Mytilus edulis: one gene and its partner. Each later gene encodes a partner of the first gene's protein in a complex. Links are inferred from orthologs where the notes say so. Each region holds a gene or a part of one and is shown in the gene's direction. Other genes may lie near its edges. The genes, in order: oligosaccharyltransferase complex subunit ostc-B-like and dolichyl-diphosphooligosaccharide--protein glycosyltransferase subunit KCP2-like.

Region 1 (15,578 bases):
TGACCATTTTGGTCATGTTGACTTATTTGTAGATCTTACTTTGCTGAACATTATTGCTGTTTACAGTTTATCTCTATCTATAATAATATTCAAGATATAAATAACCAAAAACAGCAAAATTTCCTTAAAATTACAATTTCAGGGGCAGCAACCCAACAACGAAATGTCCGATTCATCTGAAAATTTCAGGGCAGATAGATGTTGACCTGATGAACAATTTTACCTCATGTCAGATTTGCTCTAAATGCTTTGGTTTTTGAGTTATAAGCCAAAAACTGCATTTTACCCCCTATGTTCTATTTTTAGCCATGGCGGCCATCTTGGTTGGTTGGCCGGGTCACCGGACACATTTATGTAACTAGATACCCCAATGATGATTGTGGCCAAGTTTGGTTAAATTTGGCCCAGTAGTTTCAGAGGAGAAGATTTTTGTAAAAGTTAACGCAGGACGACGACGACGGACGACGGACGACGGACGCCGTACGCCAAGTGATGAGAAAAGCTCACTTGGCCTTTCGGCCAGGTGAGCTAAAAATACTTGACAACTTTTAATTCGAATTACCAAGGCAAGGTTACGTCTAACGTTGAGATCATCGGTAAAACATTCGAGAAGAGAAACATTTGAAATAAACATGGTGAAGATGGTTACAAGGCAGAAGACGCAATGTGGGAGTTGTAAGGGAAAATCGAAAAAAGCTATTCTAGTTGATGGTGGAATTCATCCTCGGGATTTTATTTCACATGCATTTGTTTTGTACTTTCTCAATTTCCTAAAAACTACCCAAGCAGGATTTTACCTTGTCAAACAATTCGACTGGTACTTAATACCGGTCTTAAATCCAGATGGTTATGTATATGCCAATAATTTGAGCGTCTTTGGAGAAAAAACAGAAATCCTTTTAATGAAACATGCATAGGCACTGACTTGAATAGAAATTATGGAATTGGTTGGAATCCGGAAAACGGCGGTTCTAGTAGCAATCCATGCAATGAGCTGTATCCAGGTCCGGCCCCTTTCAGTGAACTAGAAAGTCAGGCAGAGAGCAGACAAATTTTAAAAAATTTGTGAGGGTTCCGCGGAACCCAGTGTCTCGACTACTATTGCTGTTAATTGCAGGCTCAACAAAAATGAGGAAAAAAATCAATAAAAATATTCCGCTTGATACTATCTTTTGATTGTAAGAAGCTTCTGTCCAACTTTGGAAAAAATCCAGGATAGCTTATGAATCTAATAAATGTTTTAAAAACTGTTAACTGGAAGAAAAACTAAGTCCATTTATAAGTAAAATACAGTTACACAAGTACAAAATATTCACAAAATGTCCTTCTAGATACTATAGCTTTTGATCATAAACAAGCTTCTGTCCAAGTTTGGTACAAATTAAAAATAGTATAAGAAAAATATCAAAATTTCTAAAAATTTAACCACAGAGTGAATGTGTTGTTTCCTGGCAAATCTAAGTCCATTTAAAGTAAAATACGGAAAAAATGGATTTATCGTTTTACAAAATTTACTTCTGGATACTATCTTATTATCATAAACAAGCTTCTGTCCAAGTTTGGTAGAAATCCAGGATAGTTTAAGAAAGTTATTAAAATTTTAAAAACTTTAACCACAGAGTGAATGTTATGTTTTCCCGCAGAAAAACTAAGTCCATTTATAAGTAAAATACGGAAAAAATGGAATTTTATTTTCACAAAATTTACTTCTGGATACTATCTAATGATCATAAACAAGCTTCTGTCCAAGTTTGGTTGAAATCCAGTATGGTTTAAGAAAGTTTTAAAAACTTTAACCACAGAGTGAATATTTGTGGACGCCGCCGATGACGACGACGACGACGACGGAATGTAGGATCGCTTGTCTCGCTTTTTCGACTTAAGGGTGCAATCAACAGTTTTTTACGTGACGTCATTCTGTAACAGGGCATGTAATAGTGGACCCATCATGCAGAAGTCAGATGTTCATAGTTATATAGATATCTATACATCAATGGAAAGATAATTCTATGAACTTTCTGAATAAATAAAAAAAAATCCAACATCTCTTGTTTAAACATGCAAATTGGTACAAGTTATCAGCTGGAAATTAGGCATTTTCCCCCTAAAAAACCTTAAAAACAGACCACCTTTGGACACACGGATCAGTAACCTGTGCATATATTTGAGATTTCTTATAATATGCATTTCGAAGAGCTTATCCGGCTGATTTAAGAAAATGTAGTTTCAGCCTACGTTCGCCTGCTCCGAAAGGAGCTATCTTACCTGACAAATCAAAGTGCTTTTTGCAACAGGTGAAAATCAGCTGTTTATGGAGTTGCCTCCCATATAGTAGGAAGTCACAAAAACATTTTTTTTTTAAAATCGAAGTTGACAAAAGTGGCATTTTAATTGAACTTCAATATATGTTTTTCATATTGAACATAAAAAACAATCAACTTTTTCATTTAGTGGTATATAAATAGCAGGGAATTCCATCAGTATGTAAATCTCACTGGGGAAATACCCCTAGTTTTTAGTACGAAACTGTTTATAGCACCAGCACCCTAAGTCGAAGGCTCGACAAAAAGGCTTTTATTGGTTATCTAAGTATACAACTGTGGATATACCCTTGGGGATTTACGACAGATCCGGTACCTGATAAATCGACCCTAGATAAATGTGCTAAAACCGCAGCATTAGCCGCGGCAGCTCGTCATGGAGTTGTGTATAATTGAGACAAACTTCACAGAGAGCTACATTAGGTGGTATTTCGTCAGATTATGCAAAAGCAGCAGGAATAAAGTTTCCGTTCGAAGTTTTGTTGCTAGACAACGGGACATTTGGACATCTTTTACCCGAAAATCAAATTATTTCAACTTGCGAAGAAACAACAGATGCTGTAATTGCTTGGGCAGACTGTGTCTGTGTCGAAATGGTGTAGATAATGAAGACTAAAATATTAAATTGTATCTGTTAAATAAATTTAGTCTCATTGGCAATCATGCCACATCTTCTTTATTATATTAAGTACGTAAATATTTTGTTTTTCATTTACTGCGGAATAGGATAACATAAAAAAAAAGTATGTGTTATTCCCCTCACGGTTCATTATAAAAAATTGAAAAAACATTGGCGTGTTTACATCACGGAATATACCCCGCGCTCTAATTTTCATAGCATATACCTATAAATATGAATAAATAGCTTTAACCAATGAATTCATATAGCAAAAGCTATGCGACTAACCGACACTTAAATCACAAATTATTGTCAGGTATCTATTGTCAATCAATTTTCCATTGTCAATCAATACAGCTGACTTCAATTATTACCTGTGGGGAAGTTCTCAAATCTCTTTCCCAACTTAGTTTATTTTGGCACCTTTGAGAGGAATGAAAAAAGTGCACTGCAAAATCCTGCTAAGTTTTTTATTTTTCTAAAACATAAAACATATTTGAAATTTAATTATCTAGGGCATGCTTTGCCTTAAAACTTTTTCCAGATGCACAGGTATGTCTGTACTCAGAGTAAATTTTGAGGTGTAAATACGGCCATTTTAGCCAAAGAGTCCACATGAATCTTAACTTTGAACAATCAACACGAAAGGATAGACCACGTGAAAAAATATTAAGTGAGATGATAGAGATACCTATTTGGGTAGTTTTTATCTTCTTGCGTTCTTTTTTGTAAACTGTTTGTGACAACATTTTTATAATGGCTTGGTGCTATTTCTTTTTCTTTCATGGTCGGGTAATACCAGAAGTAACTATAGATCTTTCACGTTACCTTTGTTTATGAAAGATGTTTCGGTAAAGGCTGTAACTGCATACACGGAAAAGCTGTCGCCTCGTTAAATTATAGTACGGGAAGTCCAGAATTCATATAATTAAAATCTCGAAATCACTATCTCTAAAAAAAGTACTACTTCTAGTAATGAAGTGTTATTTCTATCGAAAGTTATTTTTAAATATAATACAACAACAAGTACAACCATGAACATTGTTACCGACTTTAGCGCTTTCTAGTAGATTATCCCGATTCAATATAGTACCTTTCTTAAAAGCAACATCCTTATTATATATATGAGGAGCCTCGGTGGCCGAGTGGTCTAAGTAGCTACTACTGTAATCACTAGTGTATCAACACTGAGATTGTGAGTTCGAACCCCACTCGTGCTGGTGCACTCTACTCCAATCTTGAATGACTAAAATTGCCAGTTTTCCTATCGAAGGTCGGTGGTTTTCTGCGGGCACTCCGGCTTCCTCCGCCAATAAACACTGGCTGCCATGAAATAGCCTAAAATGCGGAGCTTTAAAATAGTGTTAAAACACCAAAAATAAAATCAAATCCTTATATATATATGACAAAGAAAATCCTGATATGAAATGAAACTCCTGGAATATCTTTGTATACCGGCCAAACTTCAGGTGCTACTTACTGGTAGTTTGTTATACTTAAAATAGAAGTTTTAAGACATAATATGTAAACTGAAATCATCCCTAATTAAGGCTTCTTTCGTCATGTTTCGCAAATAATATGTAAATATTTCTCTTAATTTCAGTTGACGATGTGAACATTCTAAATTTTTTAATTTTAGTTTCTTGTACATATAATTCGGAGTTTAGTATGACGTCCATTATCACTGTACTAGTATACATATTTTTAGGGGCCAGCTGAAGGACACCTACGTGTGCGGGAATTCTCGTTACATTGAAGACCCATTGGTGGCCTTCGGCTGTTGTCTGCTCTATGGTCGGGTTGTTGTCGCTTTGACACATTCCCCATTTCCTTTCTCAATTCTATTCCTCCAGTTACACTATTTAAATATACTAGAAAAAAAGCATTTAACGTGATATTTTTCAATTAACATATACAGTGATACAACAACTCCATTTAATACACCATTGAGGGGGTGGGGTTGTAGTGAAGCGCTGGATTCAGAGGATGGGTGATTGGGCGAAGAGGGTGTAATTCTTTAATTGAGAAAGATATATTTTTTTTAGCATATGATAGTCTCAAAATATTTTTTACATGCATAGTTTTATAGAATGACGCCCTCTTCTTTTCAAAAATCCTTGATCCGCCACTTCTGTTATCTGGAAAACATACACGCCTCCGGGTGCGGGATTTTCTCGATGTGTTAAAGACTCGTTGGTGACCTTTGGCTGTTTTCTGCTCTTTCGTCGGGTTATTGTCTTTGACATATTTCCCAGTTCTATTCTCAATTTTATACATTTGTAAAGTTTTAGCAAACGCTTAGTATCATTCGGTCCATTAGATCAAATGTAGATTATGAAAAAAAAAATCAACGGCGGAAGTCGATTTACGACAAAGCCTTTCCACCGGCTACTAGTATTTGGAATGGCTATGTACAATGTTCAAATAATGCCATTATGGTTGTCAATTCGTATCGAAAGGGTCATTATAGAACTAAAATGTTTACCTCCTAATTAAATTAATGAAAAGGATCAGACTAGGTAGCATCTGGAAATATTAGTATGTAACAACTTATTACACAGGGCTGTGCTTTCTACCAACGGACCCTGTGGTGGAAGCTGAGAATATTGTGTGAAAGGTAAACGGACCCTTAGTTTTTATAATGAACTAATATGAAAATAAAAAGATTTTGCGTGATTGCCGGCAAGAAGACTGACAACTATCAAGATCTATCAACCAACGTTCCAATTGATGTAGACTGAAAACAATTGAAGGCCACCGTACGGCCATCATCAATGAAAAACCCCATACCGTATAGTCGGCCATAAAAGGTCCCAACTTGAAAAGTGAACCAATTCAACAGAGAAAACTAACGAAATAATTTATAACAAAACAGTTCACTAAAAACAAATATGACGGACATAAAACAACGACATCCATTGGACATAAAACAACGACATCCATTTAACTGTACAGGATCAAAAGTGCAAGCACTAAAATATACAGGAAAATATATAACATTGAAGTTATCCCTTCTTTTATTCTTATATTTGAGAATCTTATAAATGGACCTTATACAAGAACACGACAGTATACGTGTACATGAATACGAGTTTGATTTTGTACAACGAAATAAAAGATGAATTGTATTCTGTTTGTAGGGTTCTTATACAAAATAAATGTTCAAACAGTTCATATATAACATACTTTCCGTATAGAATAGATTTTTTCAACCTAAAATAGGTAAACAGATGTGTTACTTTTCATTTAGCCGACGCAGCTCATATGATGCATATATTGCACAAATTGGACGAAACATGAAATTATTCTTGACATATTTTTGTCTCCAGTCAAATTCATAAAAAGTATGTATATGTATATGTAATTATCAAAGATAGAAATTTTAACTTCATAAAACTGAAAAAAATACAACTTGAAATGAATTCATAGACGCATTAAAAGTGATTATACAAGAAAGTCTAGAAAAAAATTTCTTTAAACAAATATTGACCAGAAAATAATAAATCATACAGTAAAGTTAAAAAGAGTTATGAAATTGAACCATATTTACTTCATGATAAAACGATAAGATCAACTTGATAACTTTTGAAAAAGCTAACGGCCGCAGATTGCCAGCTTATTGAAAAGGGGTGGTTTTATGAATTATCATCCTGTTAAATATATAATTGGATCGATTTTTTAAAAACTATCTTTAAAATTCGAGTCTCATTTTTCGTGTTTTGTGTTTTTAAACTTGATCATGTTGACTCAAGAAATGTTCTTCATAATTCGTTCTATTTGAGAAAAAAAAAAAACAGAGTTGACATAAACATTCTTGAACTTCTCTTTTAATATTTCTGCACCACCCTTTAAATTTCCAAAAGATAGTCTCTTCTTGATACATATATAACTGCTTACTAATGTCTACGAACACAAAGACAAAGGTTCCTGGTTCGATTCCTGTCTGGGATGAAAATTTCAGGGACTGAGTTTTCGGCTCTCCCTTGACACCATTTGCGAGTATGGTCTTGAGGAAACGATTGCAGTCCGTCGGAAGGGGACGATAAATGGCTGACCCGTGTTAAGAGAGAGCCATATATCTCTTGCACGTTAAAGACACCCTTGTAGAATTCGAAAAAGAGCAGGCTAATGCCGCTACAAGGCAACACTCGCACCCGCAAAGTGGAAAGGGATAAATATAATTTGCAAAACTTGTTTCCCAATCCACTATAAATAATAATGTTTAAACTAAATAAGTTTGTTTTACATTGTACCTTACCTTACCAGGAAATCTTTCTCCGTCCACTTCGGGACAACCTCATTTGAGTAGTCAATATTCCGGCCACCACCACATCTATGTACACTATTTTACACACATTATCGGTAATTATATAATACACTTGAGTACGGAGATATCAATGTTTCATATTATCTTCCACGCATCACTGAATTAGCAATGTTTAATTTCCATATTATACGAGTATATACAGTTCACTATTTGACAGGTATGCTCTCGGCACAACAACAGTATAAATACGGGAGTACCGATGTTCGGAACATGTTATCAGTTCATAACAATGAAATATCCTCATTTCCTTTTAATATCTAAAGATCGGTATCTTGCTATATGTAACGCATACGACATTTGCCTGCATATTGCATCTAATTTAACAATATTTTCACTATTTCCTTTTAGTCCAGTATAGTGCAACGTACAGTCCAGAATTATTTGGATTTTATCATGACTGGAAAGTGTTCTAAGGTTGTCTTTCGATATTAAATGTAATATTTCATCGATCTGGTGAAAATATTTTTGTCGGATAGGTTCTAGAATTTGACAGTCCAACAGGACAGAATTGTACCGGTCTTTTCAATTTTCAATTTGTTTTCCTTCTTTTATTCATAACCGAAAGCCGGCATTTGTATACTTCCGGTTTGTTTGCCACATCAACAAACGAAAAAGCATGGAAGCAGTCTACGCTCTACCTTACCAATTATTGGTTTGTCCAAACCTGAAATTGAAGCGTCCAACATGGCTTCGACAACCATCAGCAATGACTATGTTTGCTTTTGTCCTTGTGTCTTATTTCCTTGTAACAGGAGGTATAAATGTTAAAATATTTTTTGACTGAAACTTCAAAATAAATTAAAAAAATAGAATGTTATGATTGTCAACGAGACAACTCTCCACAAGTGGCCCCATGATATAGACATTAACAACTATATGTCAATGTATGGCCTTCAACAATGAGCAAAACTGATATTGTATTAGTAATTTGCAGATCGTGACTATGGACATCACAGGCCCATAAAGAATGCGGCAGGGTAAAACATGCTTGCTTTCATCAAACTCTCTCCTAACTGAGGGTATCGTTGCCCTTTACCTGTTACTCATGTGTCATGGTTATTTATGCTACAGTCCGCGTCAAATTGGTTAAAATTATACGGTGATTCCTCGAAATATCCTTGACCTTATCATAATTTGTAAGAGGTCTCAAATAATTATCGTTACTGTTGTTACAAAAAAAAATAGGCATGATTCTTCAAAATCAGTCAATTTTTTTATCTTCGAAAAGAAAGTGTACATTTCATCGTGAAGCAACAAAAATAACTGTTAATGTCTTTGGGCAAGAATTTTGATGGTTATTCGTCACAAAGATACTCCCAACACTACTCTCCTAACTGGGACAGGGGTGTAAAAGTACAACATAAAGACAATTTATTTAAGGCTGAACTAATAGGACCGAAACAAATAAAAACTAATGCATGTATAAGACTCAAATATCAATCAGTAGTGGTACACATTCAATGGATTTAGTGTAAGGACAGATTGCAGTACTGTGAATGTACATGCATATATCTAAAGAAATAGGGGTATTAAAGTAAGAAATGATTGTGCATTTGTTTTTACATAAAATGTTCATCACTCTCATTTGTATACAAATATTAATGATTTATTTTTTTCAGGTATAATCTATGATGTGATTGTGGAACCACCAAGCATTGGGTCAACAACTGATGAAAGAGGCAACTCTAAACCCGTAAGTTTAGCCTATCTACATTGATGTACATTGGCTGTTGAAACATGATATTTGTAGTACCAATAGTATCACTATATGTATGTGAAAGCTTTGAAACATTACATAAATCAATTTTTAGGTCACATGAGGTAGCCCTGATGTTCAGAGGTGAATATGAAGTTAGAGTTCAATGTCGGATAGTCTCAACCAATCAAAAACATACAGTGGAATAATTCCATTTATACAATAATAAAAGAAGATACCATAAACTTAGATTTGCCAATGTCTGTTTGGACATCAGTGATATTACATGTATAATTGCACACTTTCAGTTCTTGTACATACAGGTATTTGAATGAATCATATACATATTCCTGCCATTGTCCATATAACATACATAAAAAATGACAAGAAGCTCTTAATAATACAAAATAAATAAACAATAATTAAGATTTTGAATAAATATATGACATTTCTTATATATTTCATCATGTTCATGAGTGGTATGGATTTTGTATAACAATGAGATTCTGTAAAAGCATCTTTAGAACCCTTAATTAAATGCACATCGTGAACAAGAACTTCAACAAAACTATAAAAAAAAAAAGAAGCAAAATACCATAGCAAAAATTATATTAATGGCAGTCAAATATTAAATGTCTAACGAAAGTTTCACATATTCTTTTTTAGGTAGCATTCATGCCACACAGAGTAAATGGACAGTATATAATGGAAGGATTAGCTTCTGCCTTTTTATTTACTTTAGGAGGACTAGGTTATGTTGTATTAGACCAAACTAATAAACCAAGTATGCCTAGATTAAATAGAATCCTTCTTTTATCCATTGGATTTGCAGCAATATTAATATCATTTTTCATGTCAAGAGTTTTCATGAGAATGAAATTACCGTAAGTATGATATATATTTATGGCTTATCATGATTATTTTATTCATCTATTATGTAACAAACAATCATGCACAAATGTTTGCTGGAATACTGTTGGAATAAAAGAATATGTAGAATTTCTTTCTGAAATAAAAATTTATGAGAATTTTTTTCAGATTCATATGTACCCTTTTGCATTTATTTCATTAGGCAAGATATTGAGCAGAAAAGAAATCGAAAGAAAATTATGAAAAATGATCAAATATATAAGAATCATGATCCAGCATGTACAACATAGATTTGAATACTTGTACTACAAAACTTTCATCAATAGCAAATAAACAAGTTCATTTGAACTCTGGTGGATAGTTATTTCATTGCCGATCATATATTGCATCTTCTTGTTTATATAAAAGTCCACAAAACACACAAAAAAAAAAACAAAGACAAAGCACCCACCTTCAACTATAGTAATTTCAGGTGATTAAAAAAGCTAGAAGATTTGAAAAATTTGTTATCTTTTACTTATCTGTGTTCATTTTGTGTGTCTGTTAGGTCTGTATTAGGTTTTAAGTTTTGGTTTAATGTAGTTTATTATGAAGTTAGGTCACATCAATTTGAAACTTAGTAGATGTGATCATAATGTTGTAAACTATCAAAAAATATATATATATGCCAAAATAGTTTTTAACCATATTTTATGGTAAACTGAACATGGAAAGGGTCTTGTCTGAAGGGGTCATGGTATCCTATGCCCATTGCCCACATCTCCTTCTTTTGTATGTTACATCATCACATTTGATAACTTTGTCTTTTATTTCTAATTTCAGTGGTTACTTACAGGCATAAGATCTAGAGATTCCATGTGCATTCCATCAGCCTTGATACATTTGTTGACTATGCAGAAACAGTTGATCATGTGACATTTTAAAGAAAAAAAATGATTATTTTGTATCCAAATTAAAAAGTATTTGTGATATTTGTTAGTTTAGTATAATAAAAACTTAAAAGAATTTAGATTTATTAGATATAATATCATGGTTTGTTAATCGTTGGAATTCTTTATGAGAACCTACAATACAAAACATCTCTTCACTTATAGTGATTCTCAGGTGAATATAGACCATTTTCTTATTACTGACTTTCAACTCTGGAGTTTAAAAGATTTCAGCATGTTGCATAATCAAATTGCTTTTGCACTTTATAGAAAACATAATCAGTTAATTTTCCACAAGAATTTCCTGATTGTAAGCTTTGCTTTTACTTGTTTTAGTTGCTCAATCTTGGCCTAGCACCAAAATGTCACACACCAGAGAAGGTAACCTGTTGATGAATTATAAATTCTGGGTTCAAAAATTTGTAATATAAAAATGGTCTATTAAGTAAAAGCAATTCTGTGTCATGGAGAGTAAAATGATGAAAAATATGTTTATAGTGTTGAGGACTTGTGATTGATTAAAGTTAGACTTGACATAAGCTTACACGTTTTAAAACTGTTAAAGACTGTATGATAATCTTGGAATGCCTTAATTTAATTTTTGGGTTCCCCTTTCCATTTCTGGAGTTTGCTGGACATTTCACATAATTGTTGAAATGGATGAATTTACCCACTGTTGGATTTTTTTTAATTCTGCAATATATGTTTTTCTAGAGTTATGGGACTTTGACTGTTATATAAAATAAAATTATTTCCCTAAATGTCGCACTAATGATGATATTGTTGGCTTTTTTCAAAACTACCTCTACCCTTTTTTATTGGGAAAATATGCGTCATTTTCATCAAATTGGGAATAAAGTAAACCATGAATTTGACTGAAACTTCAATTTACAGACCCATTTTAAGAGTCAAACCCTGCTTTAAAATAAGACCCCATTTTGTCAGTATGATACATAAATATACCCTCAAATCTGCACATATAGTCATTTGAGGCATGAAAAAATTTTTAAATGAGTGTTTTTCAGTTTGTATTCATGCACAATTACTACTGAGATTGCACTGTTTTGGAAAAAAGTTGTCTTTTTGTGAGTAATTTTAAGCCATTTTTTTTTCAAATTGGGATTCTTCTCCAGGGGTAAAAGCCTTTATTCTCCCTTAATTTAAGGCAAACAATATCACTGTTAAATCATATAACTCTGGAATGCTTGGATCAAACTCATTGCTGTTAGAATTGGTGAAAGTAGACTCATTGTTAGGTTTAGATTTTTTTCTGGTTGGTCTTTCCAGTTATGACAGTTATTGTATTTCTTAAAAGTAATATTTGACACAATAGTATTTATTAATACTTGCATGTGTTTCTATTTCCATTATATTTGCTTCTGATTACAATAGAATGTCCTCCAAACATCCCATTTTTTGCAACAATTTTAAGATGTGCACTGAAAGATGTATCATAAACCCTTAGTGAGTATTTATTTGTCTCAAAATATGTATCCCACAAAAATGGGGGGTAATCTCAGGTGCTCCAGAAGAGGAAGTCAAATCTGCTCTACATGTGGCACCATGATAAAAGACCTGGATCCTCATACTTAGTATATTGATGCCTTATATTATGAAGTTTCTGTCTGTCATATGTCCATTTTCCTTGGCCTCATTTTCATGGGTCAGTGACAACTTGGAAAAAGGTGAAGATTTTGAGTAATAGGATATCTATATTTGATGTGTACCTTGCATGGTTCTCATAACCGTCAGACAGTTTTCACTTGACCTCTACTTCATTCCATTGATCAGTGAACAAGGTTAAGTTCTCATGGTCAAGTTAATATTTGAGAACTATAAGCAATACCTCTACTATATTTGGTGTGTGGAATGATTGTAAGGTCAAACTGGTAGATGTCATCTGATAGTGACCTCATTTCCATGGTTCTGTGGTTTAAGTGAAGTTTTTTTGTGTTTCGGTCTGTTTTTCTATAATTGTATGCAAAAGTTCAACTATATTTGGTGCAAGAAAATATTTTATGCTGTTCATGTCAGTCTGGCATGTTTAATTTGACCTTGACATCATTTTAATATTTAATTGCTCAATGGTGAGTTTTTGTGTTTTGGTTTGTTACTATAATACTTTAAGCAATCAAGGTCAACTTTATTTGGTGTATTTTAAAATGATTGTAAGATGTATGGCTGTTGGGCAATTGTCATCTGACCATGACCTCATTTTTATGGTTCAATAGTAAATATTTCCTGGCAATGTTTGTTTCTTTGGCCATATAAAAATATATGTGTGGTTCGAAGTACCCTACATACCCTACTTTTAGTCTTAATATTAGCCTACCCTAAAAGATTTTTTGGTCATTTTTCATTAAGCACTGTTAAAGTCAAAATATTGCTCCCATAGCCTCAAGGTAAATAAAAAACATAAAATTAAAAAAAAATCCCTACCTACATACCCTAACTTTTTTTTCAGATGTAACTGGAACCACACATACTATTTTATTTGGCCTTAAGATATTATATAAAATAGGTCAACTATATTAAACCATGTAATCATTCTTATATGTGCAAAAGGTCAACTACATTTAAAACATATTTGTTGTAAGGTGTTACTGTTTAGTAACATGTATTTCCAGTTTGGTTTATCTGACCTTGGCATCATTTTCTTGGATCATGTTAAGTTTATATGATAGTTGTAGTAAAGCTTTATATTTGGGACTATCATCATAAAATCAATGGTTAGTAAAGAAGGCGAGACATTTCAGTGTGTGCACTCTTGTTGTTTGGTCGTCGTGTGTTTTCTTGGAAACTAAATTAAACTTTTCCTATATGCTGTCATTAGAGATTGCTTGGGTGTTTGAATGCTCTAATTGTCCAATAACAAACTGTGATGGCTTATTTCCAGAAGAGTGTTAAAAAGTAAAATAACAAAATAACAAACTTTGAGGAAAATTCAAAACATAAAGTACCTTCCCAATCGAAAATCAAAAGCTCAAATACATCAAACAAATGGATAACAACTATCATATTCCTGACTTGGTACATACAAGTTACGCCACCCAAATTTGAATTTGATCTGCTTTTGATCGTTATACGCCTTGTGTACAAGTTTCATAACATTTGGTTGTGGAAAGAATAAATTTGCGTGAATTACTAAACAACATACTGGTTAAGCTTGTTTATATGCAGACAAATAAGACAAGATGGTTTAGGTTGCAGGCATATAATTAGGATCTAGATAGTTATAATCTCCTGGCATGAATGTCATATAGTCTCTGTCTTTTACACATGTGTCTTTGCTGGGAAGTCTGATTGGTTTCAGTCTATGACTAGAATTATGTTTCCCTGTTTCAAAATTGCTGCAATGAAACAAATAAATATTTAATGTAAACGTTACAAAAAATGATAGAACAACAAAGTTAAAACTTTGTATTATACCAAACTGTAGTTGAAGTTTGACTGAATAAGGGTAAATAATGCTAAAAAAATTTAAGTTATAAACAAAAAGCTATACATGTAATTAACAAGAATGTGTCATTAGTAGTTGGTGCCCCACTCAAGCTATCATTTTCTGTGCTCAGTGGACTGTGATATTGGAGTCAAAAAACTACTTAGGCATTAAAATTAAAAAGATCATATCATGAGGAACATGTGTACTAAGATTCAAGTTGATTGGACTTCTACTTCATCAATAAATCCTTGACCAAAAACTTTAACATGAAGCAGGATGGTGGAATGAACAGATGCACAGACCTAAAAATATTATGCCCCTAAGTGACAGTCTGGTTAGGCAGCGACACCAATATATCAAATTATATCTGTGACTTCCTTGTTTCTATATTTATCAAGTAACCCAATTTCAACATGAACCTGAGTTGAACCACATTTAAATATAAACACAATGAAAACAAATATGTATTGCTCATTTTTACATTAAAACTATAACCTGAAGAAAACTCATTTCCTTGCTTGCTAGAAACCCTATTTTGTTAAAATTTCATTTTTTATTTATCTTGCTATTCATAGACATTTTTACTGAACTATTTTCACAAGTAGTTACCTGTCGACACAATCTTCACAGAAATCTACCTCCTCTCCTATAGGACAATCAAGACAATGCCATCGGGTATCTGGTATGGGTTCAACTTCACATTTGTCACACTAAAAGAATAAAAGGAAAGAACAACTGGCTAAAATGATATTTTACAGGTAAATATGTGGTTTTATTGGCTTCAGTATTATGCATTGACCAAACTAGAGTATACCAGGCCTGAAAAATTACTTCTACTCATTGGAGTTCGACAAAATGAGATTCGAATGTAAAACCATATGAAATAATTCTTTTTTCCCATGGCAAGTTACAAAACATACAGAAAAATCTCAGTGGTGTATTTTTACAGCAAATGCTGAATGATTCATCCTTCAATAGCTGTAATCATATTATAAAGACAAATTCAGTTTGCCTTCATATTGAATAAATCTTGAAAAATAAAATTTAACATAATCTTGAGATTTCCACAAATTTAACAGTACAACCAATTCATTCAACAACAACCAAGATGCAGGGGTAATGATAATTGTCCTGTGAACAAGAAAATAAATTACATATCTAAACAAAGACTGCATTAATGTTTTTTTCCTTAGAAATTAATATATGCAAAATAATCTATAAATATTTACAATTATGAAAACAACAAAATGTTTTATACTGTTGGAATGTAAATACAATAATAATAAGGCCAGGGTTTTTTAATTTGTTGGTTTACGGATTTTCCCCATGAAAAAGTCGGGTCGGTCGGTCGGAATAAAAAAGAAAAAAAATATC
Region 2 (16,073 bases), on another chromosome or scaffold:
TGAAATGATACTAGTGTTTACATTATCTAAAAATGAAGTCTTCATACGAAATAAACTACATAAATCTTGGAGCATTCCACTTGTAGTGGAACCAACCATCAACCATCAGAGTAAACAATACTGTTTGGATTGCTGACATGACCATGTTTAAATCTAAAATTGACGCGCTATTCTCAGGAAAATATGCTTCTTCTTCAATTAACAGATACAAATTAAATTGAGTAAGTAATTAAGTTTGTAATATTTTTTATTTTTTTTTTATTTTTTACATTTTTGTTAAACATGTTAAAATTAAAATCGCCTGTAAGAATATTGTCTTTTTTTTGCAGACTGAATCGCTGAGAGAAAACGCAAGGTCAACTTAATGTTAACATCACATGTTGTGAACTATTTTGGGGGTATGTAAATTGTTCAATATAAAAAGATTTTTTTTTTATTTGAGTTCTTACCAGACGCATATATATCCAGTTAAGTTAATATTTTCTATTCTATACACTTCCACGCCGTCTCCGATGCGATTAGTTTTATCATTGCGAAACACGTTATACATGTATGATGATAATTAATACAATGGCTATATAATTCACAGTTGGATTCAGCCAACTCTCAGTAAATGATATCAAATCATATTCAGTATATTCTAGATCTATCGATAACATATTTAGCTAAGGGGACTATCATATGCTTTGAATGCCTAATAGTAAGGGTTATATGTTATTTTCAATAAGTGCAGTTTCCACTAACGGTACGTACTATCAGTATCTTCGTCTTATTGGTCAGACCCGGGATTTATTTCAACATATCCGATAATCAATAATATGTTAATAAGTAAACAGGTTAAAACTAATATGTATTTATATACTAACCTAGTCATCGATTATTCGATCCATAAATATATTCGTTTTTACCGTAATGTGCCTTATAGTTCGATCAGTATTCGTCCTTTATCTCCGTCGAACAAAAATATACAAACACAAAGATGGAGAATAGCCACACACAAACACATGAAATCGTTTGGTAACAATCAACACCTTGATTCTTTCTATTGGAAAATCACGCGAGTACAATCAATATTATACCCGACCATTATGGTAATGCCAGCTGCTTGATTGAATATTTCATAAAGACAAGACCAGACAAGACAATTTTATTCTTTAAAACCACTGTATACACATTGGTACATGTACAAAGAATGAAATAATGATACTTAGTATACACAATAAATTGTGCGCATGACAAAATTAAGATAGGAATGTTGCAATTACTATTTATATAAATATATATATATATACAAAAATTTATTATAGAGCAGACTGAGAGTTGACAAAGGCTAACCAGGAAGACCTGCTACTGAATTTATAACCTTTATAAATTTGCATATATTTTTAAACTTATTTCTATGTGTTGTTTATAATAATTTACAAAATCTAATTATATTAAACCTGTTACAATAACAATTATCCAAAAAACAGTTTTCTGACATAATTTTGCGACTGAATCTTCTTATCTAGAGCGTAAAACACTCACAGATTGATTTGACTTCTTAAACTGGCCGTTAATTAATACCAGTGTCCACATGCGTGATTTATGACAACTTTTCGATGGGTGTGTAAATATAGACACCTGTGTGTTTTTTTTGCTGTTTCTTTGCTAAAGCTATATTTGGGATATCTCTTTATTCATTCTAGAATACAGTACTCACAATAACATTTCTTTTTTTTTAAACGGAATGACGTATTTCCTTCCCCTCTTACGGTATTTTCAAGGGAAATCGATAATTTGTTTACCCCCCTTTTTTCCTGGCCAGGAAATATGAATAAATAAATAATCATTAATAAAATTCTATTTTATTTTCATAAGATCTACTTTGCAACAGAATCTGGGACTTATACATTTCTCTCAAAGCCCAGACATACAGTTATATATGTTTATTTTTGTTTCAATTACGATGTACGTACATGTATGAGGCTATGAATAGTGTCTTAAAGATAAATGTTTTAAACAAGGAGGCTTTTTTGATAAAAAAAAAAAAAATATATATGAAACAAAAATACTTATCTTACCTATTACGTTATCACTATGAGTACGGTTTAAGTCTATATGATGTATTTCCATCTGACCACGGGTGGTTATCTCGCGACGAACGGTGAAAACTTATGTTTGTGATTATTGTTATTCACTATCTTCTACTGTAAATCTCAAAGTTCATTTGGGAGCAACGAGATATCCAATGTTATTTATAGCCTAACATGGGTTATCAACGTTATCTTTAGCAATTAGATTGGTTGTCGACAATGGGAGGCTCGCAATGGTACTTGAATGATATCTCGCTAGAAAGGTTTAACACCGGACGTTTCAATTTTGCCAATGTTTTATATAAAGATGCTCCTGTTGTTACTTTACGCGTAAACAAATAATTATTAACCGTTAAGTATACTGATTAGATTTGTAAATCCAAATTACAAAGACGTTAATTTCACAAAAAGAAAGACACTGCAGAATGATTAAAAACACTGGAACAAAACAAGCCAATAAATTCGTTCATCATAAAAGCAAAAATATTTTATACGGATGCCATGAATAATCAAAAAAAAAAAATTCTTAAGAGGCTTTTGAAGGATATTAATCCCATAACAAAACAGGGAATTGACATTTTAACAAATGAATGACAAGTCCTTCCAATTATATAAACTTTTAACACTGGTTAACACAAATATATGTCTCGCCTTTTTGATATTTTGATAGTAAATTGCAAATTTTGAAATTAAAATAGCATAATTTAACATCAGTGTAAGTTGTGTTGTGCAAATGATTCCGAGTCAATGAACCATGAATGAAGGTAAAGGGCCAATAAATCTTCATGGAAATGAGATGTACCATATACAATTACAGCATTTGTATGAAGTCTATTCAAGGTAATATCGACATGGACTCGAGCATATGGACTAAGGAGGAGGTCCGAGATCGATAAGTTTCTCTATGTCGATATCATCTCGTATTGATCTCAACAAAAGGCTACAGCTATTATTAATCAACGACTATTCAGTGCATAAACAATGTTATATTTGTGATTTCTAGAAGGATTTTTTATAGTTAAAATTGGGAATGGAAATGGGGAATGTGTCACAGAGACAACAACTCGATCATAGAGCATACAACAGCCGAAGGCAACCAATGGGTCTTCAATGCAGCGAGAAACTCCAGCACCCGGAGGTGTCCTTCTGAAGGCGTTACATGATGTATGCTCTGTGAAATAGTCTGTTTTTTATCTATGAAAAGCTATAAACACAACAGTATTGGAATCCAAACTGAGTTAAAAAAAATATGTATATTTTACATGTGATCAAGGCAGTTTAACGAATCCCGCCAAATCCTTAAAAGTATTCGATTAATAATACATGCTTTAAAGTGAGAATATCATCCCAAATCCCCACACACATTTTGAATCTGAGAAAATCAATAATATGCCAAATCCCAAATAAAAGATGATGATAAATTTTCGCTATCACAAATGATAAAATCTTAAAAGGTCTAAAAATATCTTCACAATACTAAGTCAAAGTTAACTGAAGTTCATTAAAACATACCTGTCAACTGACCCGTATTCTGCGGGTGTGACCCGAGATTTTCACAATTCTGAGGGATCACCCGGATCACCCGCCAGGTCATTGAAAAACCCGGGAATTCCGAAAATGACCCGATTTCACCCGTATTTCTTAGCCTTGAGATTGATTTCATAAGTACACGGCCGACACTCGGCTAACCGAGAGATTGGTCGGTTAATCTATATTGAGTATGCGGCTATATCGGCAGTGGGTCTGTTAATCGGGTTGGCTATACGTCTGTTAAGAGTAAAACGCACAATTTAATGTTAAACTCGATCAAATATACAGATTTTTGGCATATTATAAGAATTAAATCAAAAAAAGAAAAGTGTCTGACAAAATGATATCTATCAAAGAACATTTTCCACCTTTAAAAACATTTCATAGTCTGCGCAGTTTTTAGTAAAAGTAAAAGGCGTCGCGCAAGTATGTAGTATTTATGATTACACGCATAGCAATTTTTTAATAAAAGGCGAAATAAACAATTTTAGATATCATTTAAAAGACACAAAATACTACTTTGGTTCTTAAATATAAATTGACATTAGTAAATATTTCATAATTGTAATATAACGTGAGTAATACCACGTTTTAGTGAAAATTATGTGAATAAAGTCTGTTAATGGGTTGGACAATTGAAATTGTGTCAGTTAAGAGTTATTTAGCCACGAAAATAGTTGTGCTACCTTTATATTTTCCCATTGAAAATGTTAAAAATGAGTTGTTCTTGAGTAAAAAAAAATATTGTAAGGGTTCCGCGGAACCCAGTGTCTCGCCTACTTTTGCTGTAAATCGCAGGCTCAACAAAAATGAGGAATGAAATCAATAAAAATATTCCTCTTGATACTATCTTATGATTGTAAGAAGCTTCTGTCCAAGTTTAGTAAAAATTTAGGATAGTGAATGAATCTAATAAATGTTTTGAAAACTTTAACTGCAGACTGTATGTAATGTTAACTGGAAGAAAATCTAAGTCCATTTAAAAGTAAAATACAGAATAAATGGAGTTATCTTTTTACAATATTTACTTCTGGATACTATTTTATGATCATAAATAAGCTTATGTCCAAGTTTGGTACAAACCCAGGATAGTTTAAGAAAGTTATTAAATTTTTAAAAACTTTAACCACAGAGTGAATGTAATGTTTCCCCGCAGAAAAACTAAGTCCATTTAAAAGTAAAATACGGAAAAAAATGGATTTACTTAATTACAAAAATTACTTCTCGATACTATCTTATGATCATAAACAAACTTCTGTCCATGTTTGGTACAAACTAAGGATAGTTTAAGAAAGTTATTAAAACTTTAAAAAGTTTAACCACAGAGTGAATGTAATGTTTCCCCGCAGAACAAACTAAGTCCATGATTTATAAGTAAAATACGGAAAAAATGGAATTTTATTTTTACAAAATTTACTTCTGGATACTATCTTAATATGATCATAAACAAGCTTCTGTCCAAGGTTGTTAGAAATCCAGTATAGTTCAAGAAAGTTATTAAAATTTCAAAAACTTTAACCACAGAGTGAATATTTGTGGACGCCGCCGACGACGACGACACCGACGACGACGGAATGTAGGATCGCTTAGTCTCGCTTTTTCGACTAAAGTCGAAGGCTCGACAAAAAAATAATATTACGATGCAACACTATCCTTCCAGTAAAAGCATTTGTATTTTGACTTTCTTTGCATTTTACTCAAGAGTGTGTCACTTCAATATAGCGTGATCTGGGTTGGTCGCTGGAATATGCATGAATTTATTATTAACGATTTCAATCAGCCTTAATTTTTGTGTCTGCTCAAAGTAGCATGTTCTCAAATCCGATTGAACGTGTCTTTCTAATACAACACAGGGTACATATATAACGTGTTGTCGTTTTCATATGCACATGACATTTGTCACTGGACGTTTAGGTGGTACCCAACACTACAGGGAGATAACTCTGTAAAGTAAGTGATACGTTTTAATTGCGTTGTGTTGTAAAGGGAATAATAAGCTTCTCGAAGATCAAAATTGGTGTTTGTCAAACTGCTATATAACCAGTTAATTTTAATGACAAAACGGTTGGTTCAAATTTTTTGAAATTTTTATATTTCTGTTAAAGATTCAAATTAAATACTTTGTCAAAATTTTATCCAAATTAAACGAACCACATTGATTTTAGTGAAAGTGTTCGGTACCACCTTAATCCTAATCCCTCAGCATCATCCAATTGGTTTTTCATCTGTTGTTTACAAATCATTCTAAAGAAGTAAATGGAAAGGAGCGAATGTAGATACATTTGGTTGTATTAAAATTTAATTCATTTTATTCCGTCTAGTTCCTTTTCTACATATGTGCAGAGGAGAACTGCAGGTGTCCACATGTAAACGTCAAGCATTTGTCACCAATATGAGTACATCGCAATCCGTTACTGTTTCAACACCCAGAGGGGTTTCATGTCTTTATTCTTAAACAATTTGTTTTCTTCTCTTTTTTAGCAATGCATCACTCTCTACTGTCCTTATCTTTTATTTTGTATTCTGTATCTCCATCCAGATTCTCGTGTATACCATGAGGGTACGGATTGGGGGGGTGTTGTTTATTTCTGTATTCTTTAAATGGTTATGTTACTTTTCTCTACATTTTATTTATCTTACCCCTCATTCTTTCTCTATTCTTTATATTTAGGCATCCCAATATACTGATGTTTAGTTACATTACGACGTTAATCTCTGATTTATATACTGGTTACCAAGGTAGATGACAAATTGGTGTCATTCATGACAATTAAACAGAATCCACATGATATATGCGACCATTCTCGGATAAAATCAATTTTACTTTAGGGAACTACCATTTGATTTTTATGGGGAGGCTAGGATGAAATTTGAAAAAAATAGGCAGGAAAGGAGTTTTGAGTAAAAAAAAAGGCAGGATGAGACACTTGCAAAAAAAAAAAAGTCAGGACGACAATTTAGGTAAAAAAAAGTCAGGATAAACTAAAAAAAAAAGGCAGGACCGAACAGAGTGAAAAATAAAAAGGCAGGACAGAGATTACAGCTAAAAAAAAAATGCAGGACAAAATTTTTCATCCTAGCCCCCCCATAAAAATCAAATGGTAGCTCCCTTAATTTAACACTTTTTGAAACCATTTTTATCAATTTTCAATATCCATTGCCTACATTGTTATTGTTCATGTGTTTTGTTCCGTATATTTTATATTCCATTGCTCATGTTTTGTTTCCGTATATATTTTATGTTCCATTGCTCAAGTGTTGTTTCCGTATATTTTAGCCGCTCGTCTTGAGCCTACCAAATGAACACACCATAAAGTAATAAAATTATACTTTTATTGTCATTCATAACACTTAACAGACTAATTAACAGACCGGGTTTTATACATCCGACCCATTAACAGACCAGGTTTTTAATAAAGATTGATTTATGTCACCAAAATACAGATTTTCGTGTAGATTTTTCACAAAATGATATCAATTTGGTTAACACTCATAATGCCTGTCTTTTTTCGATGTTCAAAATAGTGCATGCAAGTAAATTCAACCCAAGTGTCATTTTGTGTACATTTGGTGTGTGTAAAATGTGTATAAATTTACTGATGAGTAATTTGCCTTTTCATTTTATAGATCGTACATAGAAGCTAGAAAAATAATAATTACACCACTGGATTCAGTACATTGAATAGTTTTGTCAGACATAAATATTTTTTATGATAAACATATATTTAAAAGGTTATACAATGAAACATTCTGAGTTTTCAATGATTTTCTCGATAACACCTGATTAACAGACTTTAGCCAACCCGATTAACAGACCCACTGTCGATATAGCCGCATACTCAATATAGATTAACCGACCAATCTCTCGGTTAGCCGAGTGTCGGCCGTGAAGTAATATTCCTTTGAAATACCGGCAAATTCGTAATTCTTCCATGAACAGGAAGTTCATCTAGCTATGTAAACTGTCAAATTAAGTGGCCCATTAAGTGCATGGCCTCACTTGACAGCTTTGGTGTCAAACACACTGTTAATTAACACCAATTACCTTAGCTTTAGGTCGTAAATAAATTGCCCCATTGGTTTACAAACTGAACTAGAGTTACTTCCCCTTATTTGTCACCATTCAAAATTATTCCTTATATTTACGTTTTATGGGTGAAAAAGATTAAATCATAAAAATATAAAATTCAAATACATATTGAAAAATAACTTTTCATTATTTTTATACCTTTATACAATTTTTTTTTTAAAAAGTTGAAAATTATTTTTTATATTTATACTTCCTTTAACTGTATTACTTTATTTTATCATAGTCTAATTTCCTTCTTATATATATAAAACCGACCGTGCAAGGGCTGTATAGCCAGTCAAGGTCGTTAAAAACTTCCATTTGTTGTTGTATATATAAAACCGACCGTGCTAAGGCTGTATACTTCCTTTAACTGTATTATATAGCCAGTCAAGGTCGTTAAAAACTTTGCAAGGGCTGTATAGCCAGTCAAGGTCGTTAAAACTTCCATTTGTTGTATATATGTAAAATATTATGGATAAAGGCTACATAGTCAATAGTCTCAAACATATAAGAATTATATGTACATTAAATTCTAGTGTTTGATGATTGTAGTATTTTTTCTCTAAAAGTAAAGCATATAAGACTGAGTTACACTAATTTATAAAAATCTTTAAAAGTGCAATGAAACAATATTTAATAAGATTTAAAATGACTTATCTTAGTTTATGTACAGGAATAGTTCCTAACTATATAAGAGTTTGCTAAAATTTATGTAAAATTTAAGTTGGTAATCTAGATGGCGCCCTTCCCCCCTCAGTAAGTAGGTCTGCTTCATTCGATTTTGATCATTTTAAAATTTAACAATTTATGACATATTTCAATTTTAATCACTGTGTCAAAGTAATTTGAAAAATTAAACAACGGTAATTTATATTTTTTCATAACGTACAAATTATAGAATAGAATATAATAGAATATTTTTATTGACCAAATTAGGGCCCCAGGACGGCTTAAAGCATACAAACAATATTATTATTAACAATAACATATGCAATTCACAGACAAATTATAAATACAACAGCAGTTTGAATTTAGACAAAAACGAGCCGACAAAACATTCTTGTCATACAGCACTCATTAAAAAATTTAAAGCAATATTAACATGGTTTGAAGAACTGGAGAATGGTAATTTTACTGATATTTAGATTTTAAAAAGTCGTTTGATACAGAATATATAAGATATAAATTAATAAGGTCTAATAATAACACAAGTTTCTTTTTTCAAAGCTAAAATTGTACAAATATTTTAAAATACGCACCCTTTTGTCCATTCCGGGATTGTACGACATTTCCTTTAGCCAAGAAAAGATAACTCTGTTATCGACAAGCCGGCCACGCAAGCAATTTACTATTTCATTGCAAAAGTTGGAAAGGGAAAATGGGTAAACATTAAAACAGTTAATACTTTGCAAATTATAACAGTTATATCTGATAAGACGTTGACTGTGGTCTAGGTTTTCGCTGCATGCGGATTAATCTACATCATTCATGTACATGTACCTGGGTAGATGAATCGTACTCTGTTTTAGTAACTTTTACCTGCGGAACCGTAACTCTTATGGTCATATTTTTTATTTTACGGACCACAAATACATATGTAGTAAAATAATAACATAAGGACCTATAAGAGCTACGGTTCCGCAGCTAACTCTGTCTCTGAGACTTCTGCCAAAAAAAATTTCTGGTTCAATTTTACAAATGTCAATTCTTAATTAAAAATTTTGGCTCAATTGGTTAGAGTGCTGCTTTTAGATTCAGAGATCAAGGGTTCGAATATTATTCCCCTGGTACCATCCATGGATTTACATAACAAATTTGGTGCTGCAACGTCTACTACTTCTACACACAAGTGTATATAAATGCCTCTGTACCTCGAATGACTGAATTACACTGTTTTAAATATCTGAATAACACTTGTAAAGACAGAATGTTACCCGAAATGCCTGACAGTTTGATATGGTCATGAGATTGACCAGGTCATAGAATGACTGTGACATGTAAAGGTGACACAACAACTGTCCAGAGGGTTTCCGAGTGGAAGACTCGGGGTTGTACAGTGAGCTGCTGGACCTGCTCGGATGGATGGTAGGGGTCCCAATAAAAGAAAAGGGGGAAAAGTGTTGAAGACCTGGAGATCCTATATGCAGGGATCTCCATGGCCTGTTTAACGATGGCGCCCCGCCATCGTTCAAATGTCTTGCGCCATCGTCAAATGACTCGCCCCATCGTTAAATTGTCCTGCGCCATCGTTAAATTGTCTTCCGCCATCGTTCAAAACTTCATCATTTTTGTAGCCCGACGCCATTTTTTTTTATCAATTATAATCAAATGCATGTAATTGCATAACCCTTAGGCTTTTTATGTTATAATCCAACACAGTTCTAACACCTGAGGGATATCCGGATTAAGATCGCTATAATCACTTGTACCTGAGCTTGTACAGGTAGATCAACAAACCAGACAGGAGAATACTATCTGAGGATAGACGATCCATTTGTCGAATTAATCAGCTAAGTTCAGCAAATGATTATGATAATTTAGATTAAATAAATAAATTAATAATCCAGTTACAAAGAAAACAGTTTAACAAGTCGAACACGTGCTTTATTTTGACTTACGCAATCAGCATCCCCCTTTTTTAAGAAGTACAGAATAAGACGCAAAACAGTAAATATTATTTCATCACAAATAACTCGAGTACTGCTGTAACAATAATTTAGAATGACTTTAAAAGTTTAAAAGTAAAAACTTATAAATATTTCCTGTAAAGAAATATCGTATCGTAAATCCGAATTCATTTCGTATATTACAATCAAATTGATACATCCGCGTTTCCGGTTTCTATTCAGACTCGAAAGATGCATGTTGCACAGCATCAATTTGTCAGATAAAGTCATTAAAAACCTTTTCATTTGCTTTACAAATCTCTTTAACCTTTTACATAACCCGTACGAATCGTTTTGTTGTTGCTGCAAATCAGCCATACCGGTAATGGGTTCTGAATTTGACAGTGTCCACGAAAAATAAGCTCCACATCATATGATTTTTAACCCCCATAACAATTACCAAAAATACAAGAAATCTACATGGGGACCTTCATGACACCTTTGGTCATTCTCAACTAAGGGGGGACTATGAAGACTTGGCATTTGAATGGTTAAAAACGGCAATAAATGAACATATTGATACTTCTAATTCTATAATGAAAATTCAAATAAATATAATTTAAATAAGCAATGAATTAGCATGTTCACCATTCCTTGTATGGAGGGATAAAATACTTCTGATCGCGCTACACTGTACAGCGTAGACATGGTTTGTAATGGTAAAAGTTCCTCCATGGTTCAATTTTCATCCATGGAGATCCCTGTATATGGTTGAGTTAATGTTCATGATGTCAGGGAAGATCTTTTCTGGCTCATCTAGTTAGAGCCCTGCCTTTAGCAATGTTTAGATCCCGAGATTGAGGGTTTAATTCAAGATGGTACCATCCATGTACAAATGTATTTTCACAAGTCCCCTTGAATATATTGTATTCTTCCCAAATATTTGTTTTTCTGTTTTTAGCATACATAAAATTTGTTCTTTATGTTTACATGTCAGGTTTGTCATATATTTTTGCATACACCATGTACACTATATATATATTCATGGTATCAGGTTAGCTGTGAAAATGTACGTGTAGCTCTATTGTCCTTTAAATTATTTTTTTTGCCACATTTGTCTATGGTCCGCAAATATCAAAATCATCAAAAGGACCTTAAGAGCTATGTTTTCGCAGCTAGGTATCATGCTCAGACCTAATACACTTTTGCACCCTACATGTTCGCACCTCAAATACATTGATTGTATTCAGTATTATTGTTGTGTGTTTGAAAATCATGATTGTTGTTTTAACTTGCTTTGATGTACATGTATATACTGCATGTATTTATCATGTTTATTACTGTATTTAGCTTGGTTACTATTAAAACATTGACGATTTTAAATAAAAAACATGAAAGATAATTGTTTTTAACAGGTTGGCCCCTTTGATCTCACTTTATTTTGAAACAATGAAAAAACAACCAAATCCTAATTTAAGATTGATTCTGAATATTCAGTACAAAAAGGGTGCATACACACGTTGGGTGCAAAATGTAGGGTGCGAAAGTGAAAGCAGGAGACTGTGTTTTTGGGCAAACGAGCCCCGATTCTATATATCCATTAACCAGCAAAAAAGACATTATTTAAAAGTTGAAAAGTATTTATTATGAATTTTGTTATGTATCTTTTAACAAAATACAAAGATTTGAAAATCCCACGTTATATACATGTTTATAATTTTTGTGCTGTGTGATATTACAGAAATACACACTCCATGAATTTTTTATTTTTTTTATTTCAGGGTTATCACCAGTTATTTCGAGTGTGATTTCTCTGACACTTGGTATGTCAATGTTTGCTGTAATGCAGATGTTCAAACAACAGTTGGCAGCTACAGAATATATGACAATACTAGGAGGTTTACTTGGTAGTATGGTGTTCATGTTTGTCTTGACTGTATCCTTTCCTGTCTTTGCCTGTTTACTGAAAAGCAATTTATAAAGAAATATTCAATAGCTAGGTGGGACGGCAGCTGTCAAACAGTGTTCGTGCAATAACTTAAAAACGCTTTGAGAAAATCTTTCAAAATAAATTATGTTGTTTCCTGTGACTACATGAAGGTCAAGTTCGAATTTCATAATTGAAGCTTTTATTATTGATGAGTTATAGCCCTTTAAGTAGCATAAAGTGATATATTTAATACCCCTACGTAGCAGACGGGGCATTAAGTTTTATCCTTGTCCGTCTGTACAATGCTGTACATGAACATGTACATGTACTTTGCACATCTGTCCTTATGAGAAGTTATGTCCCAAAATTGATTTCTGTTTTCTCAACTTTAGTTTGCCTCAACCAAATGTTATGAAACTTATAAAGTTTGAAATACAGTGGCATCACTTTTACCTTTCTATGGTTATGCTCCTTTACACAAGTAAAAATTGCTGAATTTGTTGTTTCTATTTTCTAACTAAAGGTGCCTCATCCAAATATTATGAACATGTACACAATACTTATTACCACAAAATCTGATCCTGTGCAAATTTTGCAGCATCCCTTTTACTGTTCTTTAGTTATATCCCTTTTTAACTTTATAGACAAATGGGGCCATCATTGGACACATTCCTTATTTATTTGTACTTGGAGCATTGTTGGTGCAATAACTTATAAATAAAAAACTTTGACGAAATCAAATTTATATTAGATATGTTGCATTGTTTGTTTCTTGTGACTAAAAGAAGGTCAAACTTTGAATATCATGATTTTAGCTTTTATTGTTTTTTTGTTATAGATCTTTCATGTAGAGCAACATGATACCTAAAGTGTTTTCCAAGCAATAACTTGCATGACTTGAAATGATTTGGATGAAAATCTTTTTTTACTTGATTCTGCTTTGAGATCCAGATTTTCCAAATTCATTTTCATGTGGGAAAATCTGGTTTGCTGAATCTGACAGCCCATCATATCCATTGTTCATTTGGAAATGATTTCATTGTTTGGATGGGAATATAATTACAAAGATAAAGGATCACAAAACATGCACATATTTTCCTTAACACTTATTTCAGGGTGTCAGTAATCTTGAAACTTCATTATTTGGAAGTGGATTCCAAACTAAACTTCTACCAGAAGGTAAGTCTTTAATTTTACATAAATTATGAATTGAGAGTGGTTTTATATGTGTTATTTTGCAAGTATATTTTGAAAAGTAAACATTCTTGAATTGCCTATTTAATAGAAATTTATATAAAAAATATACTTTTATTGTTAATTTGTGATGTATACAATTCATGGAGTTCATACAGTTACATACATGACATATATACATAATTTAATTGAAGTTTGAATACATTTTGTACTTTGAAGAGAAATATACATATGATAAATGCTCTAATAATGTGTGTATTCATCATTTATGTTTTTTATATGAATTAGTGTTTTTGCTTGTTGATGTTGATTGATTGTGGTTTGTATTTTATCATCCAGTGCCTAAAAATGCCTGGATATTCAGATTAAGAACACATAAACAATTCAAAAGATAGATTCTGCATGCACACGAATAGATATAGGGCAGTACATTTTAACTGTAACTGTTAAATAGGGATACTTGTATACATGTAAGTTGGAAGATAACAGAAATTTTTCTTTACAAATTCTATAGATTTTATTCATGTTTTTACTGACTATGACACATTATTTATTTTTAGTTGCCTTTTGTTTAGCCATGGCCATGTTTGCCTCTGGTCTCATACACAGAGTTTGTGTAACAACTTGGTAAGCATAATAGTTATTGTCATTTATCATAATAATACAGTTTTTAGGCATGGATGACTATATCATTAAAGCTTTGACAATCTAATTTTTGATTTAAAGAGAATGTCTAAATCATATACTTTTTATCTTTGGATATTTTACTGAATGTACATGCAGTCTTATATAAAAACATTTAGGCCACACCAATTTAATTTCTTGTTCTACGGATTTTTGGACTGCAAAAATTGACGCGAGCGAGCGATTTGAAAATTTTAATAAAAAATTGAATTTGCAAAGGAGTAGGTTTAATAACCCCCTTTTTGGCCCCAAAATATAGCAGTTTTACAAAAGTATGAAAATGTAATCTTTTAGCTATTTACTGGAAAGTGGAATGCTTCTGCTACATAAATATGGGCTGTTTTCGACAATACAATGCACATATATCAGGTACTAGCATCATTAAGTCATGCTAAATTACTATCTTCACAATTTGAGCATTTAAGTAAAATTTTAGACAGTTTCCATCTAAAATGAAAGTATTGGCCGCATTCGTGTTCATTCATAATATTGAAATGTAACTTGTATTTGATGATAATACATAACATATATAAAGGTTGAGGATAAAATAGTAGGTTGTGACAATATTAAAACTTTTATCACTTATACTTTGACATTTCTTTAATTTATGAAGTATTTTTTCCCTGTTCACCAAGAAATAATTGAATAAATAAATCTGGTCTATGTATGTGTGACTGACAATGAGACAATTCTCTATCCAAGTCATAATCAGGTTGGGAACAACCCCTTAATGTTATAAATATCCCTTTTATGAGGGGTCAATATAAGTTATAATATATTTTTTTGTAAAAAACACTTTTCATATTTTCCTAAAGAACTATATATATATCTGGTATTAAATGGTCAAAACATAAATTGGTTTCTACACAGTGTAATGGGGTGCTTATAGGTTTAAAATCGTTATATACAGGTTAGACTGTGATTTTAAAAACAAATGTTGATATCTTTTTATAATATTTACAAAAAATACGTGCGGGAAATGAACATGATTACATTCAGGATGCGGGAAGCAGGAATATAAAAAAAAAAAATCTGTTTTGAAAAAAATAGGTGCGGGCGGGTCCGTTGAACAAAGAATTAAATTGTTGTGGCCTTATCATAAGAAAAAAGAAAAAATGAGTTTGTGAGTTTCTCAGTATTGGTTAAAGTTCTAAAAGCAATTATAATTTTTGAAAACAAATATGCTCTTTTCAGTAAAACTCTGGATGGATTCCAGTATGGCAGAATACTATGATAACTTTAGACAGTGTATCAAGATATATCAGACACTCTTGTAAAACTTATTAAATATATCTTGAAGAAAAACTTATACAATTCCATTTTTCATTTCAGTTTTATATTTTCACTGGTGGCTTTATATTATATCAATAAGATATCTCAGAAAGTGCATGCTCCTGTAGCTGTGCAGTCAACAGGGAAATCTACTCCAGGAAAGAAGAAGCGTTAGAGGGATCTACAACGACCATCTTTTGTATTAGATAATTATAAAATTGTTTTAGAAAATTTCATGAATTTTTCGTTGTTCAGTGCAAGCCTTCACTATGGATAACCTGATAAGGTTAAGTTTTGTGTGTTTGTTGTTATTTTCATTTCTGTCCAATGTGTAACTTTTTTTTCTAGAAATTCTTGTACATGTTCAAAACATTTAATCAAATTTAAACTAAAATTGGTCTTGATTAATCCTAGGGTGTGCAATTAAACTAAGTTTTTCAAAAGGAAAAATCTGGTTGTAAAAATGGTGAATATTGACATCGAATGCCAACAGTTTCCATGCAATAACTTGTGACCTCTTCAACTAATGCTATACATTATAATATGGTGTTACTGATGTCCTGCCATTATAAAAAAATTGAGATCAAGTTCAATATTGATGATTTGTACTTGTACTGTTCTTCAGGAGTTTTGGTTCTTAATTAGTTGAAAATGGCACTGATGTTGTCTTTCACTTTTGTCAATCAGGAGTTATGTCCTTGATAGATTAA

Evidence for each region.
Region 2: oligosaccharyltransferase complex subunit ostc-B-like (region 1) and dolichyl-diphosphooligosaccharide--protein glycosyltransferase subunit KCP2-like share a complex: the UniProt entries of both Drosophila melanogaster proteins name them as parts of the oligosaccharyltransferase (OST) complex. The link is inferred for Mytilus edulis from reciprocal best matches to the Drosophila melanogaster genes CG9662 and CG31460.

Annotation. Positions count from the first base shown.
Region 1 is NC_092345.1:45,471,567-45,487,144, reverse strand, and holds oligosaccharyltransferase complex subunit ostc-B-like, read left to right. Parts: upstream 1-7,834; 5' UTR 7,835-7,883; coding exon 7,884-8,022; intron 8,023-8,886; coding exon 8,887-8,960; intron 8,961-9,629; coding exon 9,630-9,847; intron 9,848-10,655; coding exon 10,656-10,674; 3' UTR 10,675-10,838; downstream 10,839-15,578. Other genes in the region: ZZ-type zinc finger-containing protein 3-like, read right to left, coding at 13,962-14,112, 14,814-14,914. UniProt on the Drosophila melanogaster protein: Subunit of the oligosaccharyl transferase (OST) complex that catalyzes the initial transfer of a defined glycan (Glc(3)Man(9)GlcNAc(2) in eukaryotes) from the lipid carrier dolichol-pyrophosphate to an asparagine residue within an Asn-X-Ser/Thr consensus motif in nascent polypeptide chains, the first step in protein N-glycosylation.
Region 2 is NC_092347.1:14,659,855-14,675,927, forward strand, and holds dolichyl-diphosphooligosaccharide--protein glycosyltransferase subunit KCP2-like, read left to right. Parts: upstream 1-8,996; 5' UTR 8,997-9,055; coding exon 9,056-9,059; intron 9,060-12,064; coding exon 12,065-12,219; intron 12,220-13,328; coding exon 13,329-13,392; intron 13,393-13,967; coding exon 13,968-14,034; intron 14,035-15,423; coding exon 15,424-15,538; 3' UTR 15,539-15,594; downstream 15,595-16,073. UniProt on the Drosophila melanogaster protein: Subunit of the oligosaccharyl transferase (OST) complex that catalyzes the initial transfer of a defined glycan (Glc(3)Man(9)GlcNAc(2) in eukaryotes) from the lipid carrier dolichol-pyrophosphate to an asparagine residue within an Asn-X-Ser/Thr consensus motif in nascent polypeptide chains, the first step in protein N-glycosylation.